Linked DNA regions of Pelodiscus sinensis. The protein of the gene in region 2 interacts with the protein of the main gene of each other region in a biochemical or structural test. Links are inferred from orthologs where the notes say so. Each region holds a gene or a part of one and is shown on either strand. Other genes may lie near its edges.

Region 1 (7,368 bases), on a different chromosome or scaffold from region 2:
AAACATATTTGCAAATATGTTAAGAGTTGATGCCCATGAGAACTTTAATACAAGTTTTGGAATTATATATTTAAGGATGAGGCGCCATCCAGTTATCCAACTTTGTTTTTCAGAAGTGGTGGTATTTGCAAGATTTGGATGCCTTGCATGGAATGCCTCAGTTTTTAGCAAGGGACTGAAAAATAGCTGAACAGGGTCAAAACTATTTATCCCCTAATATTAAGAAAACATGAATTAAATACAGTTTTATTATCTCTCACCAGCACATCATTGCAGATATCTCTTAGCTCTGTCTCAATTTTCTCTCTGTATTCTCTGGCCATCTGCTGTTTTTTCTCAGCACCTTCCGTCTTTTGTTCAATACTTGAGACGACTCTCCAAGATGACCTACGGGCTCCTACGACATTTTTGTAAGCAACAGAGAGAAGATTCCTCTCCTCATTGGACAACTCAGCTCCTTGCTCAGTCACAGACTTCATGCAGCCTGCCATGTCATCATATCTCTCAGCCTGCTCAGCCAGTTTGGCCTTTTGCACCAGCTCATTTTTATCCATGCTGATTTTGCTGAAGAGGGAAAACACGAAGGCATTATTCAAACAATATTCATCAAGGGCAAAATAGCCTCATATATATAAAACAAGTCTTTTTTTAAAAAAATATGCAATATTCTAGCTTGTCATTATGCAATTAAGGCACTCTAAATTGGCCCTGAATGCTGGAATATATATAAAACTAGTGACTTGGAAGTGTTCAAGCTATGATATTTCTACAAATTCAAACCTTTATTTAATTAGTACTGATAATCATTTGTTAAAAAAAAAATCACCACATTCAGAATGTTAAGGGGCACCATTTCTGTGCTGTTCAAGTATGTAGTGACAACTCTTGCCACTGCTCAGAATTCTCTTCAGACTTCCAAGCAGCATCATTAACTTCTTCAGTTGCATTATTCTGATGATTAGAGAACAAATTGAGAGAGCATCAGTAACTTACCCTTAAGCAGTTCAGAGAAAAAACACCCCAAAAAATGAAAAATAGAAATTAAAAAAAAACCCTCCAGACTGAAGTAGTAGCAGAGAACTCTACTCCCTGAAGAAGTCTGCTTTTAAACTTTCAGACACCCAGAGGTTAATATTACAATTCAGGCCCTAATTATACACCCATGCTAGAATGGGAGACTCTAAGCTTCTCACCTGGGCATTGCTCTTCTAACTCTCTAGTGATGGTTTGATGGGTTAAATTGCTCAATTTGAGTGAAAACCATCATTGAGATGCAAATGTTAGTTGGGTGTGTTGTAGCCCTTCAGGACTGCATCTTAACAAGCCCTTTCAATCATACTAACCTAACTTGATTAAAGCACACCCTTTTGTATCTCTAACTGGTCAGAATCTTCCCCCCCCCCACACACACACACTTCATGAATTTTTGGCTCCTGATAATTATTTTGAGCCCTACAATATGCACTAGCTATATGGTTCATTAGTATACTAACTGCAGAGGCTAAAAAGTGAAAAATCATTTCACCTAAGCATACTGTGTTTTTATGTTACATATTCCAATTGCCATAACATTGACCCCAACAGTTTTGATTTGGCTTATACAAGTGATATTTCACATAAGACTACCTGGAATAGAATTTCTTGTATTTAAACTCAATGAAATAAATTTGGATCTTTTTCAGAGATCAGATCATCTCAAGGTTATTTATAGCACGTTTCAGTAGCTGTTTTAACCAACACTAGTTGCTCCCATTTCTCTGTAATATTTGCCAGGGTGGTTTAAGGCCTTTGACCATACTGCAAACACTGCTAAGAAGCCATTTTACAGAATGGTTTCACCTACAGCTGTTACCACCCAGAATAGATTAGACAGGCAAATAGTTAAAATCTTATCTGAAAGCCAGTTTATCAAACTGTGGTTATTGGCTAGCCAACGCCACTAGACTAGCACGCCATGATCCTAGCCAGCACTGCTGCACTTTAACAGAGGAAAAGCTACTTTAATGAAGCACCGCGAGGATGGGAAAATGCCAGTCGATTTCTCTATACACTAGATCGTGTCTTGACAGCATAAAATGGTGCTGTTGAGCTCGCCGCAGCGCAGGGCCGCGCTTGCAGTGGGCACGGCTACACGGAGCGCGGGCGGCGGGGAACTGGGCGGCTACAACACGAAATCGACACGGCGTGGGCGAGGAGGGACGACCGGGCCAGACTCCTCCCGCCGCCCCTCCCGCGCTGCGGCCGCCGCCGCATCCGCCCGGCTCCGAGACAGGCAGCGCCTCCGCCGGGCTCTTTGTCATGGCGGATCCATGCCAGAGCCCAGCCCACCGGGCTAACGCGCTAACCCCGCTCACCTCAGCCCAGCGCCGTGGGGAGGCGGCCGCCGAGCCCCCGCCCCAACACAGCGACGGAAGGGAAAGCCGCAGCCACGGGGGCGAGGAGCCCGCCCCACGGCGCCAGCGCAGTCACCGCCCTGCAGGAGCTGCCGCGGCCACTCGGGAACCCGGCACAGCGCCCATTACACTCCCCGCGGCCGGGGCCCCCAGTGACCAGCGCCGGGATCCGGGGCGGGGCCACCGCAGGAGGGGCCCCAGGAACCCCGCTCGGCCGGCGGGAGGCCACACCCAGCCAGCGAGCCGCCCGCGCCCTGCCCGCAGGGCCCCGCGCGCCCAGGTGGGGAGGGTCGCGCCTGCCTTCCCCAAGCGCCCGCTGCCTCCCCGGCCCGGCGAGCCACCCCCCGCAGCCTCACCTGCCAGGGCCCGGCGAGAGCAGCAGCCCCCGCTGACCCTGCCCCGGGTCACACGCTGCTGCCCCCGCCTCGCCAACGGCTCCGCTTCCCACTCCCCGGGCAGCCGCCTAGTGGCCGGGACAGGGCGGGGCGGATCCGGCCTCACCTGTGCAGCGGCGGCCGAGGCCACATCCGCAGCGGCGGCACAGTTGCCCGGCGGCCGGCTCCCCGGCGCCCTGCCCTCGGGAGCGCGGCGCGGGGAGCCGCCCTGCTGCCTGCGGAAGGACCGCGGGGGGAGGGGGCCTCCGCTGCCCCGCCAGCTCCTTCCGCCCTCGCGGGCGCCCCGTGGGACTAGCGCTGCCGTGGGCCCGGTTACCTGCGTAAGGAGGAAGCGGCGGCGCGAGTGTCTCTGGGCGAGTAGCCGGCGCGGACTGTACCTCTAGCCCTGCTGCTCTCTCCGCTGCAGCCTCTCTCCAGCGCCGCACACGGGGTCTCCGCCAATCACTGCGCCGCAACGCACGGGCACCACACTGCCCGTGACGTCAAACGGGGCCATGGCAACCGCGAGGGAGCGAGCGCCTGCGCCCGCGCCTTCCCCTCCGCCCCACAGAGCGGGGGCCGCGCCAACCGCCGCTGGCGTCGGCGCGCGCACCACCGCGGGGGACACGCCTAGCCCGGCCACCACAGCCCCTGCCGCGGGCGCGCGCGCCTCTGCCTCTGACTGCAGCGCGTGAGTGAGTGAGGCGCCTTCGCGGCCCGCGCGCCGCTCCCCTGGCGGCGGGGCTGGGAGAGGCCGCGCACCGAGCCTCCCATCCCCCATACCGCCCTGCCACTCTGCCGCCTTCTCCCTCTTGCCGGCCGGGCCCGCCCTGGGCTGGGAGACCAGCCTTGCTCGCTAGGGGCGGGGCCGATTCTCAGTTCAGACAGCCCCGACTGCGGCGGCCTTCCGGAGCCCGGGCTCCCATGTGCCGCCCCACGTTGCAGAGCCGTCTGAGGAAGCGCGCGGCTCGGAGGGGCGCTTCGGGGAGCCGAGCTCTGCAGCACAAAGCCGGCATCCATCGGTCTGAGTTGCAGGCTGCTCCCATCGCGGGAGGAGCTGAGCGCCCGACACAGCCAATCCACAGCAATAGCAGAGGCCAGCCTAGCGGCCTTGCTGGAGTCTCTCGTGCGTCTCCCTTTCTGGGGTCGGCGCTCTGCTGGGCTAGCCGGGCTGGGCTTTCGGGAGGAAGTGTAGGGAAGGGTTTGAGAGCAGAAAGGGCTTTGAGCCGTGAGCGGGACTTCTGGGAGGAAGGCTTCCTCAGAAAGAAAATTGCCACATGATCTAAAAATGGTCAGGCTGCAGTTCCCCGATCAGATGATCGACAGCCAGATCACCTTGCCAGAAAATGTTTTGTCCCCCCACCCTGCACACTGGGGCCCTCCGTGGACTAAGAGGAAAAGTTGAAAGAATTGGGTATGTTTAATCAGAGAAAAGACTATTGGGGAGGGACATGATTACAGTCTTCAAACATGTCAAAGATTATGATGCTCCCCAGGGAATTCTGCTCCAAAAATTAAAAATTCTCCACTAAAAAAGTTTCTGCCTATAATATGCAAATCTCATTGTTGTCAATAAATGTGCAGGCACCAGCATGGCAGTGCAAAGCAAATGCCCCTGGCTGCATGGAGATCACCCTACAACACCTCCCTGCTCTCCATAGAATACGGACTTGAAGGTGAAGGTGAAGCTGCACTGAACTCTGACTACACTACCAGTTTAGGTCAAACTTAGCTGCATTAAGTTGATTTGCTAAACAAAGAGTCCACATCACCAACCCCATTCCCCTGACTTGAAGGGCTGTTAAAGTTGATTGCAGTACTCTTGCTTTTTGCAAGAAGCAAAGTTAAATTCGATGTTTTGTTAGTCTATAAAGTGCTACCCAATCAGCTTTTGTTTTTTAAGTTTAACTGTAGGGTAGTGCAGATACAGTGCTTTAAAAGTCAATGTTCTTGGCCTCTGGAAGGTGTCCCACCGTGCCCCCGTGTAGCCCCTAGGGCCAGTACTTTCAATTTAGCTCATCTCTGAGTATGAAGGAAAATCCCTGAAAAAATGGGGAAGATGAATCTATGTAGGTAGAACTATGAACCAAAAAAAGAAATGCTGATATCAATGCAAGATTACACAGGGCATGGTGGAAAAAGGATACACCAGGGATGCCCAGCAGTGCCACATGGAAATAAAGAAACTCAGGCAGCGTATCAAAAGACAAAGGAGGCAAATGGACAGTCTGGGTCTTCCAGAACAGAAGACTGGAATTTCCTCTTCAGTGATTTCTCTCCCCTTGCCCCAGCTCTCACTCGGAATTCCTTTTCAGTCTCTGCTTTCTTGTGATCCTTAAATACAAGTTTCTCTACAACAGTATCTTTATTGCTTTTGTTGCATGGGGGAATAGGGCAGATTGCGCCGGTCACAGGGTTTACAGGCCAGCACACTTAATGCAGGGGGCATCTCCTATAAAGTAACATACAAGATTGCCATATCACTGTCTGGTCATTCACAAACCTGTTTTTCAAAACCTCTCTGATTATCAGTGTCCCTTGCTGTGTTCACCTTATTGCCCTGATGTCTGGTTTCTCACAATTAGTGGCTAGGCAAGTTGCCTCAAGTCCCACCTCCCAATCTGACATGAAATTTCCCTCCCTTACTTTCAGAAGTGTTATGCATACGGTAACCATACAGCCCTTTTTTTCCAGGACAGACCCAGATTTAAGGGTTCTGTCCTGGTGTCCCAATAAAGGTGGCAAATGTCCCAGAAAACCTGTTGGGATCCAGCTACAAACAGAACTGCCATTTCCCACCCTCTCTGGGGCTCCCTCGCAGACACCTAGTACTAGTGCAGTGCAGCAGTAATGCCCCAGCACCACTCAGCACGTAAGCGGCTCCCTTGTTGCTTTGCGTGGGAACCCAGGATGGTGCGCAGTGTCCAGAGTGCCAAGCTCCCCTGCAGCACACGCTGCTGTCCGGCACGCCCTTCGCTCCCACCATGGGACTGCCTCTGCCGTGTGCAGCCTCCAGCCGGCCTCCATCATCCACAGGCGGCTGCCGCTGTTGGCGGAGGGGGAGGGGCGCTGGTTGGAGCTGATGAACCACTCCTGGGAGCTGCTGCCGGAGTCCCGGCAGAGACCACGCAGAGCCCAACTGGAGCTCTGCAGAGCAGGGAGCGCTTGGGCTCTGCTGGTGCACTCTGTGCACGGCCCTTTCTCCCCCCACCCCTTCCTACTCCGCTGGGGGAGCGGCAGTGCACGGACAGAGGCAGCAGCACAGGGCAGCAGCCAGCTCCCTGGGAGCAGTGCTGGCAGGCAAGAGGAGATATATGCTGGGAGCTGGCTCCCCCAGAGTATAAAGCTTATACTACAGAGCCTGCAGTGTAGCTGGTTCCCCTGGAGTGGGTCCAGCAGCTAGGAGCCGGCTCCCAGTGTGTGCTGACTGCCGCCCCTGCTCCCGGGGAACTGGCTGCGCTGCAAGCTCTGCAGTATACTGCAGAGCCCACAGCATGTAATCGTGTAACCCAGGGGTTCTCAAACTTTGTAATATCACGACCCCCTAAAATTCTAAGTGAATTTGTGTGACCCCCCCATCCTCACTGCTACACAAGCAAACGGGGAGTTGGGGGCAGCAGGGCTGTGTGGGGGAACAGGCCGGCGGAAAGCAGGGCTGGTGGGGTGGAGGGTTGGGTGCAGTGAGGCTGGCTGGGGAACATCAGGAGGAGGAGGGGAGAACTGGCCACTGGAAGTAGGGCTGGCGGGGGCAGCAGGGCTGGCCAGGGGAGTTGGGGGGTCATTGGGGCTGGCCAGGGGAGATCGCGGGGGAACCGGCCAGCGGGAAGCAGGGCTGGTGGGGGGTTGGGGGCTGGCTGGGGGACATCGGGAGGAGGAGGGGAGAACTGGCCCCCGAAAGCAGGGCTGGTGGGGTAGCGGGGCTGGCCGGGGAAGATTGGGAGGAGAAGTGGGGGAGAACTGGACGGCGGGGGGGGGGGGGGCGAATTTGCCGGCGGGGAGCAGGACTGACCCAGGCACGTGCAGATCCCAGGGTGCTGCCCGTCCCACGCATAGTCTCGGCAAAGCGCGAGTGAGTTTGGCTGAGGTTCCACAACGCGCTTGACCAGCGCTCAGGAACACGTACAGGGCTTCCCCTCCTCCCCAAGGTGTCACACGCAACCAGAGGCTCTCAGTGCTGATTGCGCCCTGCCTCCCAGCCACTCCTCCCGCCTCCTCCAGGCTTCCGTCGGGCGCCCAGCCAGAAAACTAGAAAATACTGGACATTCCACATGTCTGGTATTTTTTCCATTTTTTTACCGGACTATCCCAAAACCCCCCAAAAATGGAATGTCCTGTGACCCCCTCCCCCAAGTTGCTTGTGACCCCCCTGGGTTTGAGAAACGCTGGTATAACCACTAAGATTTTCAGTGGTTACATGGTTACTTAATTAACCATATTTAACATCCCTAGTCCAAGTGCACATTCTATCCCCATTCTACACTTGCTCAGCCTATAACTGCTCTTTAGTGTGGTCCAGACTGCCTGTGTACAGCTTCTTGAGCAAGCGGTAGGTTGAGTCACTAAGGATCACAATTGGCATTTCAGTTCCTCCAATGGTAATT
Region 2 (8,000 bases):
GCTCAGCCAGAAGGAAATATATTAATCAATCCAGACACCGCCCTTACTTCAACTTATTTCAAAACATTGGTCAATTTCACTTTTGTGCTACAAATTAGAAAGAGCTACTGCTCTATTAACCTGTGCAATGAAAAACAGTTGTTTTGGTTACACCTTTACAGCATGCCTACACTAACAGGGGATCTACACACAGCATCTACAGTCCTTGCCACAAACTCAGATTCAAGACTCCCACAAGTGAATCACAATGGATGAAGCAGGGAAGATAGAGTATAGTTAGTGTAGAATATTTTTAAATTTGTTATAGCATTAGGGAATAGAGGAAAGGATGGTTGCAGCACTTCGTGACATTAAGTTTTTGAGTTGCATCTGGCTAAGTCCTTGGTTAAAACAATATTAAAGAGCTATAAAAAGTCTAAAGTAAACTCTCGAAGGCTAAGAAATTCAGATAAGAGGCTGAAACTTCATTTTAAAACCATTTTTAAGAGTACACTAAAAGATATTACCCTTGCATCCTAGCCAAATTGCAGTTCAGGTATAGTTACCACTTTCTTCTTTATCAGGTTTTAAAAATTTCCCATACAGTTGCAGTTTGAAGTACTTTTACTTACTATTCTTGACTTCTGTGCCATTCTGCTATTGCTAAACAACTGATAGGTTCAACCCAATTTAAAAGCAATGGCTATACAAATTTTTTACCTATGTGATAATTGAATAGTGAATTATGAATTAAAGTTTCAGATTCCTCACATTACCTGGTTATCCTCTAATAAAAGATATAATAATAGTGCAAAAAATTACTTTCATTGTTATTATTAATGTAACAACTATACATGACAGGTAAAAATCAAGAATACAATTTACTGCTTACTCTGAATTTGTGTATCTGTTAATGTAGACCATTCCCATTATTTAAAATAGATATGGGGGGAATTACATTTTGCAGCCGAACAAACTGAACTTTTAAAAGGTGAAAAAAATGTAAATCATACATTTATTTTTAGAAAATACAAACCAGTCTTACAGAGATCATATTTCTCCATATATATATATACACAAAAGTTTTTTCTGCTGCATGTGACAGAATTATGTCATCAGGCTCTCTGGAGAGAGGAGGGTTGGTGAGTGTAGTGAGCAGGGCATAGCCTCCTAGATGTCTTTAAACATCTTTTGGGGATAACATGCATTTTATTTTACATGATTGACTGCTAGGAAGGATCTCTGTCTGAAAACAAATGTGAAAATGACATTGGAAAGCACCTGCAATATTTAATATAAAATGAGTCAGCCTTAAATAACAGAGGTAACCAAACAGAATAAACTACAGAACTTTCCCTGCTTTGTTTCTGAAGTTGTCCTGAGCATGACAGTGGGTATAAAAGACAGATGTTACTTCCTTAACACATCCTGCTCCATTTAGAAACAATATTGGATTATCACAATGTTTGTAGTGCATGACATCATATGTGATCTGTGCAATATAGTTCGTATGTAATTTATGAACATACTTTGCTTTATTTTGATTTAGAGCTTAGGAAAAGAGACAAAATTATTCTTTTTAGCAAACAGCTGACAAAAAACTTTAGCCATCCTTTACAATGTAAATACTACATACAGCATTTTTTTTAAAAATCATTAATATTCTAGAGCCGTGGTCCAGGACTGTGGTATACTATATTAGGAACATTAGCAGTGCGTCTAGACTGGCAAGCACTTTTTGCGCAAAAGCATCCTTACTAGACAGGCTTTTGTAGAAATACTTTTAACAGAAAAACTTTTAACGTATAATGTAACAGTAGTAACTATTATAATCTGTTTTCCAACATGTACTTTGATACAGAAGAAATCACAACACAAATAACTGAATTCCACAGATTAATAATACCCCATTTACTATTTTATTTATTTTTAATGCACATCTCTCTTTAACATGGTTATTTACTGGAACACCTGATGGTAACTATACAGAACTGCTGACTTTTGGGCCCTGGAGCTATAGTTTTGTATTTCTCATCTCACAGTAATACTGTCACCCTATGTCATCTCCGCGGTGACAATATGGTCAGCAACAGCATTTTCAAGGAGACTATTCCTGTGCACCACTGTCTAGCGGTCTTCACACCTGCCTGTCTGGCACAAGACGCCCGTGTCTGTTGTTACTAGCTGGCCAGGAGCGGAGACTTGACCGAGCTGGACAGTCCCAAACCTCGAGGAAGTTTCCATGTGGCTCATTAAAAACCAGCGCCAGCCGCCAAGTTGGGCTCTGAATCCAAACTGCCCGCCAAGTTGCGGGGAGCTCGGGGCTGGCTCGCCAAGGGGCGGTGTCAGGCTCTGGGTCTGCCAGCTAGGGGTGAGGGGTTTACCTGCTGCACCGCGGCCACGCGCAAGTGGGAGTCCAACACCAGCAACAAGGGCACGTGGAGGTTCCGGCCAGCGAAGAGCTTGGGGGCTGAGGAGAGAGGAAAGAGCCGGTTACTCGCGGGGCCGAGCCGGGGAGCCGTAGCGGGGCCCGCCCGCCCGGGCAGGAACCTCACCGCGGGGCCGGTGGGCCAAGGCCAGCAAGTCCTCCAGCGTCTGCAGCACGCTCTGCAGCTGCGTCCCCTCCTGCACGTTCGTCAGGCGAACGACCAGTTTCCCCAGGGCGGCTTCCTCCCTCTCCTCCTCCTCCTCCTCCGGCTCCTGCTGCTCCTCCCGGCAGCGGCTTCCACTGGCCATGTCCGAGCCCCGCCTCATCTCAGCGAGTGTGCTGGGAGCGCTCCCCGGCTGCCGCCGCCATGTCGATCCCGCGGGCCGCGGCTCAGCCCCGCCGCCGGAGTCATCGGACTATTTTTAAGCCGCATCCCCGCCCCTTCACCTCAGCGCTGACAACATCTGCGGCGAGTGTCCGCAGGCCCGGCCCAGCTCGAGGGGAAGGGGCCGCAGCGCCGCCCGGTTGCCCGTAGAGGGCGCTCCCGCTACACAGTCTCGCGTTGCAATCCCAGCAGGATTCGGTGGGGAGGGGGCGTTAGGGTAGCATCAACCAATCAGTTACAGCCACTGACAGCCCCGCCCTCCAATCGCATGGGAGCTCTGGAGAGGCCCGCCCCTTCCTGCCTCTCTCGGTCTCATAAGGGGGCGGCGAGCCACGTAGCGCTTCTGACGCGTTCTTGTTGGTCGCGAGGGTGGCTGGCCAAGGCATAGCTAGCTAGCTGTGGTGGCCCCTTTTGGGGCCCTTACGAATGGGGCAAAAGGGTCTCATGGGGTACGAACAGGGGAGTCACTGCGGGTGGCTGGGGTGGGCCCCAGAAGGGGCCTGGCTGAGCAAGAAGGTGCTGTGCTCCAGGCTCGCCATGTGTCTCAGGAAGGGCTACAGTTGATTTTCCAGCTGTCCCCCAGATGGGAGGGTCCCAGGCATGTTAGGCTGCCTCAGAGCCTGGGTTGGGTGCTGTGATTACTGGTCAGAGCATAGCTGTTGCGGACACCCCATCCTTCCTCTTGGCTGCTGCTACTATGAAGTTAGAACATGCACCTCCTAGGCTAGGCCTTTGAACTTCTCAGTACTTGTCTCAGTACCAGTACAGTCAGCTGTCCTTTGCAGGCAAGAGGCTCCAAATCATAGGGTTGCCAGGTGTCTGGTTTTGAACTGAACAGTCCTGTTTGGGAAACAAATTGAGAAAATATAAATATGGTCGTTTCTAAATAAGATGTAATGTAGCTTGTGATGTCACGTCAAGTGTGTCCAATATTTTTGTTGAAACCATTTGGCAAGCCTATTAAGCAATTAGCTAAGTCCATCTCCAGAATGAGGGGACTTTCAAAAAAAAGCGCCTCCTTTTGAGTAAAGGAGCAACTCTGCTAATGAACTCTAGCTATCATCTATTATTTATATGACAGAGGCTTAAGAAGCATTGAATTTACTGCAAATTTCTGAAGTATAAAATAAAATAAGATCTAGAGTCCCTCATCTCACCCAGGAGTGGCCCGAGGCCAGCTGTAGCAGCTAGCGCCCCAGGCAGAAGGCGCAATTGGTGCCCCTGCCTGCATAGCGGTCAATGTCTGTGATGTAATCACAGGGCGCCCCATGACATCATCATCGGGCGCCTGGGCCAGCGGCGCTCTAGGCAACTGCCTAGTCTGACTAGGCTCATGGGCCACCCCTGATCTCACCACGTTTGAAATTATTTTGAAGTGGGATAGCTGTCTCTCATTTTCATGCCACACATGCTTCTATTATATACAATTATTTGAAATTAATTTAGCCACACCATTAGTGGATTCAGGAAGGGAAACAGTGATAATGTGATTTAAAATTTATAAACTTCAAGTTCTTGTGATTGTTCTTTTGTAATAAATACACAACTAGAAAATACAGGAGTTTCAGTGTACTAACCAACTTGTTAGTGTATCTGTCTTTAAATTCATCAATGTGTCTGTCACATCTCCAGAATAGTTGTAAAAGGTGCCACATGAAAAATAATCATCTACAAATGGGGCTTGCAACAGTATGTTAATGAAAGTATTGCTAATTTTTACTCTTAATCTTTTAGGCTGCATCTAGACTGGCAAGATTTTGTGCAAAAGCAGCCACTTTCTCTTTGCTGCTTTTGCAAAAACAAACCTGTACTGTCACCAGTTTTGTTTTTCACCTTTTTAAGTGCTTCAAGCCTGATACTACAAATCACATTTTTAGTAACTAAATTGTAACCAATACAAAATTCTTCTGACTAAAGGAAGAGAAATTGAATACTTTTAGGCTACGTCTACACTGGCAGCTTGCGGAAGAACTCTTTTGCGGAAGAGTTCTTCTGCAAAAACTCTTCCGGAAGAGAGCATCTACGCTGGCATGTGCTTTTGCACAAGAGATGTGCTTTTGCGCAAGAGCATCCATGCCAGGGTAGACGCTCTCTTGCACAAGAAAGCTCTGATGGCCATTTTAACCATAGGGCTTTCTTGCACAAGAAATTCATGTTGCCTGTCTACACTGGCCTCTTGCACAAGAACAGTTGCGCAAAAGGGCTTATTCCTGAGCGGGAGCGTCAGAGTTCTGGCACAAGAAGCCCTGATTTCATACATTAAAACGTCAGTTTACTTGCGCAAGAACACGTGGCCAGTATATACAGTAGCATGTTTTTGTGCAAGAGCTGCTGCTTTTGCACAAGATCATGCCAGTGTAGATACAGCTTAAGAGTAATTAAGTTTTTCTCTGTTAAACATGATGATTGCCTTACCGTTTTTGAAGGAGCAACTAGGATTGTGGAGTTATTGAAGCTCTCATGCTTACCTATACCCTGATGCCCTGGTTACTGAAAAGCATGCACAGTGCTTAATATAAAAACACATGAAGAAAACACCAACTTAATGCTTCTTTTTAAAATGTTTCATTTTTTATACACAAGCATTCTGAAACACCTACAAATCGTTGGTTACTGCAAATGCTTGTTGACTAAACTATCCTTGAACTATTAGTATCAACTTGATACTCAAAACATAGGGCAGTGCTATCTGAATCAAGCCATATTTTTAAGTGTTATACCAAGAAACTCTTATCTTGGTTTAATAATTATCAACCACAAAACCATGACTGCATTTGTGACATGAAGTTTTAGCTTGTTTCCCTTGAAAGGCAAAGCCCTAAAAAGACAACGTGTCAGTCTGATGAAACAGTGATTCAGATTTAGAAATTAGTTAAATGGTTTCTCACTTCTGCTAACTTTCCTAATGACAAAGTTGATTGATAAGAAATAGATCCATATCAGCAAATCTAATACAGTTTTCTTACTGCAGAATTAATAGTTCAAACACTCTTTTCAAGGAATGGTGATAGATGCATTGCAGTCTTGACCTTCAGACAGTTGTTGGCACCAGAAACTTCAGAGGAAAGTTTAAAATATGCTGTAAATTATATAGTCAGTAATTACACCTTTGGGAAGACTCTCTAATACCAACTATGGGTTTTTATATCTCCTCAAATGCTTATCTTAACTAGCATAAATTGCACATTTTTACTAATCCTGTTTACATAACTGGTTAATCCTAATTTGAATTCTGTTGTGGATGCTATGCCTTCCTTTTTGAAGAGTGATTACGGTGTAATGATATTTGTAATGGGGTGTTAATTTTCATGTGTGTGGCTGCCATAAATAAATTTTAACTCTTTTTGGGGGAAAAAAGTGTCCTCTCAATCAATGATATAATTACTAAATTGCATACTGAATTTTTGAGTTGAAAGTTAATGATTCATTATAATTGGTCATTTGGATCTTCATATCTTCATAATGTAATGTAACAGGTGGTCTGGGTGCACTGCTGAAAGGGTCAAATCAGGGCAAATTGCTTAGAATCAGGCTATTTACACCTTCCTCTATAACTACACTTTAGCTGTCAATCTGGACAGCAAGAAAAGTTACACAAACAATCCCTTTAGACATGCCAGCATTATCTGCGTCACAACCACTATGATACCTTACACATGTGAGCAGTTATGGAAACAGATCTCACCAGCTCTGAACAGGTTCTCCTGATTCTAAAGGACCAGACACAGGTCAATTTATACCTTAGCTCAAGGGTGGGGAGCCTAAGGCCCGGGGGCTGGATGTGGCCCTGCCTTGTCTGGATCTGACCTTTGAAGCTCAAGGCCCCTCCTCAGCATTGGGGAGCCTGTGCTGGCACTCCAGCCCCTACTGTCCCCCTGTGGGACCGGAGCACACAAACTCTACTAGCCGAGGCCCCCCTAGCTATGGTGTGCAAGGGGAATGTGGGGAGTGTCTTTCTCCTCCTTAGTTGGGGCCACATCAGTGATGATTTTGGTGGGTTTTTATGCTTCTCGCTTGTGTGTGGACCCCAACTGATTTTTCTGTGGGTCAGTGGCCCCTGACCCAAAAAAGGTTCCTACCTCTGCCTTAGATCTTACCCAAAAGAACACACCATACCAGTCCATTAGAATCTAAAATCTAAAAGTTTGTTAATAAAGAAAAGGTTGAGAGTAGAATTGTTGAAGAAAGCACATTACATACATCAGTCACCAAGTGCTTGATGCAGGCTCTTAGCAGAGATGTAATAAACCACTAGCTTAAAAGTCTCTGGAGTACATCCTGGCTACGTCTAGATTGCATCCCTTTTTCGTAAAAGGGATGCAAATTAGACGTATCGCAATTGCTAATGAAGCAGGGATTTAAATCTCCCCCGCTTCATTAGCATAAAAATGGCTGCCGCTTTTTTTCGTCACGGAGCTTTGCCGGAAAAAAGCGCCAGTCTAGATGCGGATCTTTCGGAAAATAAAACCTTTTCCGAAAGATCCCTTATCCCTCTTAAAATAAGGGATAAGGGATCTTTTGGAAAAGGCTTGGCAAAGAGGCAGGGAGAGCCATGAAGTCAGTGGCTTCCTCTGGCTGCCTTTCCTACCACAATGGCTGCCCAGGGTGCCTGTGCCTTTAAGACATGGCTACAGACAGGGACAATAGAGGTTTCTCCTGCAGATGAAGTGTCCACCAGGACTTTTCCCTGGAGACCTGTTTTTTCAACAAACAAACAAACCCCGCATCTATACACGCCTTTTTTCGATAGATCTCTTCATAAAATGAGGAAGACAAAACCACCGTGTTCTTTCGATTTACTTTCGAAAGAACACGGTGGCAGTCTATATGTGGGTGAAGTTTTTTTGAAACTTCTGTTCCATTGAAAGAAAACATTTGTACTTTTCCTAATTACCTTGCAAACTCAATGAGAGATATTACATCTCTTTTCAGCAACAAGCTTGTTGTATTTGGGGGTCATATTTGAAGTGGATATTTTCATAATGTCTTCCAAATGGTCATCAGTCAGAGAAGAACGTTGCTTGTTTTTATTCATGTTCATGGTGGAAAATGTTTCTTCACATATGTAAGTGCTTCCAAAAATGCTGAACGTTTTCAGTGTAAGTTCGATAAGATTTTTGTACTTTTCATTGTCCAGACTTTTGTAGAAGTACCGCAGGCTGCTTTCTCTGTGCTTATTTTGGTAAACTGCTGAACATTGAAGTTCAA

What was found. The genes of interacting proteins can lie anywhere in the genome.
Region 1: the proteins of LRRK2 (region 2) and YWHAZ interact on a protein array, tested with the Homo sapiens proteins (3 studies listed by BioGRID and IntAct, with this or other methods). The link is inferred for Pelodiscus sinensis from reciprocal best matches to the Homo sapiens genes LRRK2 and YWHAZ.

The regions. Positions count from the first base shown.
Region 1 is NC_134712.1:35,253,595-35,260,962, reverse strand, and holds the start of YWHAZ (14-3-3 protein zeta/delta), read right to left. Parts: upstream 3,016-7,368; 5' UTR 2,921-3,015; coding exon 2,895-2,920; intron 2,489-2,894; exon of another isoform or gene 2,355-2,488; intron 565-2,354; coding exon 261-564; intron 1-260.
Region 2 is NC_134711.1:27,626,856-27,634,855, forward strand, and holds the start of LRRK2 (leucine-rich repeat serine/threonine-protein kinase 2), read right to left. Parts: upstream 3,001-8,000; 5' UTR 2,734-3,000; coding exon 2,535-2,733; intron 2,450-2,534; coding exon 2,364-2,449; intron 1-2,363. UniProt on the Homo sapiens protein: Serine/threonine-protein kinase which phosphorylates a broad range of proteins involved in multiple processes such as neuronal plasticity, innate immunity, autophagy, and vesicle trafficking.